Linked DNA regions of Xenopus tropicalis. The protein of the gene in region 1 purifies or fractionates together with the protein of each later gene. This does not show direct contact. Links are inferred from orthologs where the notes say so. Each region holds a gene or a part of one and is shown on either strand. Other genes may lie near its edges. The genes, in order: kpna3 and kif22.

Region 1 (3,820 bases):
AGCTCTGAATGCTCATGAGTACAACTAGCAGGATATAATTGAATCAATTAGCTGATGCATTTAAGTGCATTCAAACCGGTCTCCCAAAAGCCCATACATAATAACTCTTAAACTGTTCGGAAATATGGGGTTCAACAAATCCTAGTTCTTTAATAGATTATTTAGTCATCCACATTTGTTTTCATTTTAGAACAAACGAGACGAGCACCTGTTGAAAAAAAGAAATGTCCCACAAGAAGAGAGTTTAGAAGATTCAGATGTCGATGGAGATTTTAAATCGGTATGTTCTGAAACCCAAAGTCTGTTTTTGATCTGTGCTTGTATATCTGGTTGTTATATGCATTTTCCAAATACTGGTAGCATTTACTGTAAACTTAGCAACTGATGTTTTCTCTTCTCTTAAATAGCAAAATGTAACACTCGAAGCAATATTGCAGGTATGTATAGTTTTGATCAGCATTACTTAATTGCTTTCATCTCTCTTAACTGCAAGTGTTCTTATAATTATCCTCTTCATTTGCAGAATGCCACCAGTGATAATCCAGCAATCCAACTAAGTGCAGTGCAAGCAGCAAGGTAAAGAGCCTAAGATCTAATATTTCTATGAGAAGACGCATATCTTGATCTTGTTGTTGGTCCTATATATTCTGAAATGAAAGATTGCCAATTACAGTGTTTTAAAATAGGTAATTTTACCTAGATAGAGTCCAACCATAAAATGTGTGAGAGGTCAGTGCTTGTGCAGAAGTCATGCTTGTGTCAAAGCTACATCATTACTAAGCTACTAATTCTAAGGCTAGGCAGGGTCTTATAGGACTAATGTTTTTTTGTGTTTTCATTGCAGAAAATTACTGTCCAGTGACAGAAATCCGCCTATTGATGATCTAATCAAATCGGGAATTCTGCCGATCCTAGTGAAATGCTTAGAGGCAGACGATAAGTAAGAACAATCTTCATTTTGTAAATGTATATTATCAGAAGTGCTTTTGTCACATCCGTATTTTTAAGTTAGATATTACATGCACATGCTTCTGTACGGTTGACTTTCTGGGTAAATCTGTTTTATAGTGTGGCAGATACCATTTAAGAATTGCCTAATAAGCACCAGCACTGGCACTTTTCATTTTCCTTGTGGTCAATGGCTGCTAGAAATCATGTGTATAAAACACCCTATCTTCACTGTTCCATTTTCTTAAACTTTCATTCTCCATGGTGTAACATTTTGCAACAATATTTTAAGCACTAAAATAGTTCTTTGATAAGCGCCGTCCTGACTGTTGTATTAATGACTCTATCCATGTATGGCCAGCTTTTGGTCATAGCTGCCCTTTATGGAAATACCTTAGTTGTTATATTGGATAAACTGTATACTCTCTGCTATCATTTATTGTGATGCCTCTTAACATATGCGCCCAGTGACTTCTGCCAGTGCCTCACAACTGTCAGGCTGGCTGCATACTGCATACAGATTTGTTTTTTAGCGCTGATCCCAGCGAGTAGCCTGAAATGTAGCCATGTCCTAGATTGGTTGCAATCAAATACTATTTAATTGTACCTCCTGCAGCATTTGTATGAGACAGGGAAGCTTTTTAACGTTCCATAAAATTAAAAGTATAACGGTGTCAGTAGGCAAAGCAAGAGCCGTAAATAGAATAAGAAACATTTATAGTGACAAAAATGTCAGCAGGGAAGCCGACCATGTGATTTCTCAGACAAAAAAAAAATCTCAGGAAATGTACAATAAGATTGTTTCATTTAGGGCAGAGGTACACGGGGAGATTAGTCGCCCTGTTATGAATCTGCAACTAATCTCCCCGCAATGCCATCCCATCGGCCAGAATGTAAATCGCCGGTGGGATGGCATACGTGTCGCTGGGATGTCCCGCAGTCGCCCAAAGTTGTCTTGAGAGGAAACTTCGGGCGACTGCGGGACATTGCAGTGATAGGTATGTCATCCCACCGGCGATTTACATTCTAGCCAGTGGGATGGCATTGTGGGGAGATTAGTCGCCCCGTGTACCACTGCACTTACATGCATTGTGTACTTGCTGATTTTTTTTCTGTTAATGTATCATTTCAAAAAAATTTTTTTCTTTTTTTTTTTTTTTTTTAGCCCTTCTTTACAGTTTGAAGCAGCATGGGCATTAACTAACATAGCATCAGGAACCTCGGCACAAACCCAGGCAGTGGTTCAGTCCAGTAAGTATGATAAATGGCTTTCTGTAGAAAACACTTCATACATAAGATACAGATACAGTGGCACCAGACAAATGTCCCTTTGCAGCTACATAACCTGTAATTTTCTGTGAATCTTGGCTGTGGACATCTGTGTCTGCAAACAACTAAACAATGTGCTGACAAACCTCACAGCTATGCTTTTTCCCCCCTCAGTGTTTTGTTTTTCATAAAAAATTATTTACATCTGAGAGCTGTTGCAGAAAGATGTATGCATACAGGCAGCCATCCTTTTATTTATATTTATTTTATTTAGTTCTAAGCTTTTGTTGGTTTTTTTATTTACGTGCATATCCATTTTCTTGCAAAAATCTAACTTCTTTTTACCTCCCCAGATGCTGTGCCTCTGTTCCTGAGACTTCTCCATTCCCTGCATCAAAATGTTTGTGAACAAGCAGTTTGGGCACTTGGAAACATTATAGGTACGCATTTTTGTAGGCACAAAATTTGAACACTCATTTTCCCCTGCATTTATACATCTTTCTGAGTACTTATCTACACAGGATTGTGGCCAAAAACTGAACTGGAACTGAACCTGTATTTTGCATATTAAAGTGTAACCAGCACACCCTATAGAGGTTTAAATGCCTTGGATGCTGGCCAAAATAAGGACAGAGAGCCACACACACAAGGACTTAACAATAAAGTGAAAAAAATGTAATAATTTTTTTCACTCTATTGTTAAGTCCTTGTGGGGTGGGGGGCAGGGGGAGGGGGGTGAATGGCATAAAACCGGGATCCCCAACCTTTTTTACCCCGTGAGCAACATTCAGCTGCAAAACTTGTTCGTGAGCAACACAATACGTGAACAGTAGCACAAACACAATTTTTAATAATAATAATAATAATATACACTATATTAAAATGTTATATAATATCAAAATATCAGTGTGAAATCTGGCACTGCATGTTTTCTGCCAGTTTTTGAAAATCTGAGGTGTAGCTGATGGGAAGCAGTATGGCACACTGGAGCTCTGAGGGTACAGATGGGAAGCAGTATGGCACACTGGAGCTCTGAGGGTACAGATGGGAAGCAGTATGGCACACTGGAGCTCTGAGGGTACAGATGGGAAGCAGTATGGCACACTGGAGCTCTGAGGGTACAGATAGGGAACCAGTATGGCACACTGGTTCTCTGAGGGTACAGATGGGAAGCAGTATGGCACACTGGAGCTCTGAGGATACAGATGGGAAGCAGTATGGCACACTGGAGTACTGAGGGTACAGATGGGAAGCAGTATGGCACACTGGAGCTCTGAGGGTACAGATAGGAAGCAGTATGGCACACTGGAGCTCTGAGGGTACAGATGGGAAGCAGTATGGCACACTGGAGCTCTGAGGATACAGATGGGAAGCAGTATGGCACACTGGAGTACTGAGGGTACAGATGGGAAGCAGTATGGCACACAAGAGTACTGAGGGTACAGATGGGAAGCAGTATGGCACACTGGAGCTCTGAGGGTACAGATGGGAAGCAGTATGGCACACTGGAGCTCTGAGGGTACAGATGGGAAGCAGTATGGCACACTGGAGCTCTGAGTGTACAAATGGGAGGCAGCATGGCACACAGAAGCAGCAAGGATAA
Region 2 (3,920 bases), on another chromosome or scaffold:
AACAGGCAATACGGGAGCCCATTATAATACCAGGCAATACGGGAGCCCATTATAATACCAGGCAATACGGGAGCCCATTATAATACCAGGCAATACGGGAGCCCATTATAATACCAGGCAATACGGGAGCCCATTATAATACCAGGCAATACGGGAGCCCATTATAATACCAGGCAATACGGGAGCCCATTATAACAGGCAATACGGGAGCCCATTATAATACCAGGCAATACGGGAGCCCATTATAACAGGCAATACGGGAGCCCATTATAACAGGCAATACGGGAGCCCATTATAACAGGCAATACGGGAGCCCATTATAATACCAGGCAATACGGGAGCCCATTATAATACCAGGCAATACGGGAGCCCATTATAACAGGCAATACGGGAGCCACAGTCAAATGTAAAGACTTGGGGAGCAACACAAGCACCATAAAAGTTCATGGAGGAGCCAAATAAGGGCTGTGATTGGCTATTAGGGGCCTCTTTGCACCCTATCAGCTTACAGGGGCTTTATTTGGTAGGAAATCTTGTTTTTATTCAGCCAAAACTTGCCCCCAAGTGAGGAATTCATATAACTCCCTGGTTTGGGGGCACTGAGAGCAACACGCTGCCCGGGAGCCACTGGTTGGGGGTCACTGCCCTATGGGAATGGGGCCAAACTCACTTTCACTCAGGAAGGTTCCACTCGCAGGGATCAGCCGTAGGTTTAGCGCCCAGAGCTGCTCATACCCAGCCCGCTGTGCGCACAGGAAGTGGCCGCGCTCGCCCGGAGCATGACGGGACCACTGACGCCACTCTCGCCCCGCACACTTGGTTCCTGGGTCCGTACCGCAAAATATCCCGCACCCACTGTCAGTGATCCCGAAATTCGCGTCAGGGCCAGGAAGGGTTACTAGATTGGGAGACCAACTTAACTTCCTGTTTTGGCGCAAAATGGTGGGAATGGATGTCCGACCGCGGCCATCTTTGTTTTGGGAACCGAGCCAGTCTCGAGTGTAACGCAGTGAGGGATAATTGTAACGATTTCCCTCAATCATTAGGTTGGAGTTAAGCCAAGACCCGGTGTCAGAACAACTATTGTGTAGAAAGACAATAGGCAGTTTGGCCTTGGTTGCCATGGAAACACATATCCGTCTTATGACGAAGAACAAATAAAGAACTTGCGGCCCGAGGGCCTACCCTATGACGAACTTTGACCCCGACTCCCACATGCAAGCATTTGATTGGCTATTAGTATTATGTCTCTTAGCCGTAGAGAGCACTAAGTTCATTCCATGGTGGGAGGCGGAGTCCGATTCGCATCACGTGGTGTAAACTCCGAATTTGAATGAGCCAGTCAGGCGCTTGTGTGCGTGCCAGGCCTCGTTTACGCGCAAACCTGGGCCACGTGAACGCTCCTCGCCTTTCTATTGGCTGGACGCACGCTTCGCCGCCAAATACGAAAAGGAGGTACAGTAACCGGTCGGGTTTGTGAGGCCCCGACAGCCAGAAGCGGAAATCGGAGCTGTAACGTCCCAGTCGGGAGGGATTATTGTATCGTGTGGTCAACTCCAGAGCGTGGTTCTTAAGGCCCGACAGTGCCTAGCGAGTGGGGAATGGTTCTTACCGGGCCTCCCCAAAGGTGAGAGCCTTCCCCGCTATACATATCTGTTACACGGCTTATCCCTCCCAGCAGCCACGGGAGTTCCATGAAAGCTCATTTCCGGTTCCCTAGTGTGTAACGCACCAATATGTCCCCCAGCACCAGATCTCTACCATTCCATTGGCTTCAGTCCCTACCAATGCCTGCACATTGTACAGCTCGGAGCCATAGGGAGTGTAGCTTTAGGCCAGGGCTCCTCAAACCCTTTCAGCAGGCTGTTGGGGGGGGGGGTGTCCCCATACTATGGCCCCCCTGCTCCCCATACTATGGCCCCCCTGCTCCCCATACTATGGCCCCCCTGCTCCCCATACTATGGCCCCCCTGCTCCCCATACTATGGCCCCCCTGCTCCCCATACTATGGCCCCCCTGCTCCCCATACTGTGGCCCCCCTGCTCCCCATACTGTGGCCCCCCTGCTCCCCATACTGTGGCCCCCCTGCTCCCCATACTGTGGCCCCCCTGCTCCCCATACTGTGGCCCCCCTGCTCCCCATACTGTGGCCCCCCTGCTCCCCATACTGTGGCCCCCCTGCTCCCCATACTGTGGCCCCCCTGCTCCCCATACTGTGGCCCCCCTGCTCCCCATACTGTGGCCCCCCTGCTCCCCATACTGTGGCCCCCCTGCTCCCCATACTGTGGCCCCCCTGCTCCCCATACTGTGGCCCCCTGCTCCCCATACTGTGGCCCCCCTGCTCCCCATACTGTGGCCCCCCTGCTCCCCCCTGCGTCCTTGTGTCAGACAATAGTGGGGGCCGGGTAAATTACCTTGGGGGGGACGTACCTGACCGCGGCTGTAGTTTGAGGATGCCTGGTTTAGGCTTTATAGTCTGAGCCATATTTTCTCCCTATGATCTCCCATGGAAGCTTGACAACTCTGTGTTTGTAGGGAGTCGGTCAGTATGGCCAAGCGGGTGAGCATTCTGGATCAGCACAAGAAGCCGTCCTCGGCCCGGGTGCGTGTTGCCGTCAGACTGAGGCCCTACATGGAGAAAGAGGATGAGAAAGCGCCCGCCGCGTGTGTCCGGGGCCTGGACTCGCAGTCGCTGGAGATTGTCAACTGGAGGAATCAGCTAGAGACCATGCAGTACCAGTAAGTGAGGGCATCGCCGTGCTAGTGGGTCCGTGTAACATTGGTGTTTCAGGGCACCTCTGCCTAATTGTGCTGCTGGGGGGGGTGCTGGGCATGATCATCATGCTGGGGGGGGTGCTGGGCATGATCATCATGCTGGGGGGGGGTGCTGGCATGATCATCATGCTGGGGGGGTGCTGGGCATGATCATCATGCTGGGGGGGGTGCTGGGCATGATCAGCATGCTGGGGGGGTGCTGGGCATGATCAGCATGCTGGGGGGGGTGCTGGCATGATCAGCATGCTGGGGGGGGGGTGCTGGGCATGATCAGCATGCTGGGGGGGGGGGTGCTGGGCATGATCAGCATGCTGGGGGGGGGGTGCTGGGCATGATCAGCATGCTGGGGGGGGGGGTGCTGGGCATGATCAGCATGCTGGGGGGGGGTGCTGGGCATGATCAGCATGCTGGGGGGGGGGTGCTGGGCATGATCAGCATGCTGGGGGGGGGTGCTGGCATGATCAGCATGCTGGGGGGGGGGTGCTGGGCATGATCAGCATGCTGGGGGGGGGGTGCTGGGCATGATCAGCATGCTGGGGGGGGGGTGCTGGGCATGATCAGCATGCTGGGGGGGGGGTGCTGGGCATGATCAGCATGCTGGGGGGGGGGTGCTGGCATGATCAGCATGCTGGGGGGGGGGTGCTGGGCATGATCAGCATGCTGGGGGGGGGTGCTGGGCATGATCAGCATGCTGGGGGGGGGGGTGCTGGGCATGATCAGCATGCTGGGGGGGGTGCTGGGCATGATCAGCATGCTGGGGGGGGGTGCTGGGCATGATCAGCATGCTGGGGGGGGGGGGTGCTGGGCATGATCAGCATGCTGGGGGGGGGGGGGTGCTGGGCATGATCAGCATGCTGGGGGGGGGGGTGCTGGGCATGATCAGCATGCTGGGGGGGGGGGGGTGCTGGGCATGATCAGCATGCTGGGGGGGGGGGTGCTGGGCATGATCAGCATGCTGGGGGGGGGGGGTGCTGGGCATGATCAGCACACTGCTTATTATCTCTACCCTTATGCGCAGGTTTGATGCCTTTTATGGTGACAGCGCCACTCAGCGGGAGATCTACATGGGCTCTGTGTGCCACATCCTCCCGCACTTACTGATTGGCCAGAATGCCAGTGTTTTTGCTTATGGGCCCACAGGGGCAGG

The links.
Region 2: the proteins of kpna3 (region 1) and kif22 purify together in Homo sapiens (affinity purification with mass spectrometry; 3 studies listed by BioGRID and IntAct, counting the BioPlex papers as one, with this or other methods). This does not show direct contact. The link is inferred for Xenopus tropicalis from reciprocal best matches to the Homo sapiens genes KPNA3 and KIF22.

The regions. Positions count from the first base shown.
Region 1 is NC_030678.2:149,379,420-149,383,239, reverse strand, and holds part of kpna3 (importin subunit alpha-4), read left to right. Parts: intron 1-190; coding exon 191-280; intron 281-407; coding exon 408-437; intron 438-523; coding exon 524-576; intron 577-844; coding exon 845-940; intron 941-2,113; coding exon 2,114-2,199; intron 2,200-2,570; coding exon 2,571-2,657; intron 2,658-3,820. UniProt on the Homo sapiens protein: Functions in nuclear protein import as an adapter protein for nuclear receptor KPNB1. Binds specifically and directly to substrates containing either a simple or bipartite NLS motif.
Region 2 is NC_030685.2:2,576,655-2,580,574, forward strand, and holds the start of kif22 (kinesin-like protein KIF22), read left to right. Parts: upstream 1-1,304; 5' UTR 1,305-1,601; coding exon 1,602-1,627; intron 1,628-2,533; coding exon 2,534-2,737; intron 2,738-3,791; coding exon 3,792-3,919; intron 3,920-3,920. UniProt on the Homo sapiens protein: Kinesin family member that is involved in spindle formation and the movements of chromosomes during mitosis and meiosis. Binds to microtubules and to DNA. Plays a role in congression of laterally attached chromosomes in NDC80-depleted cells.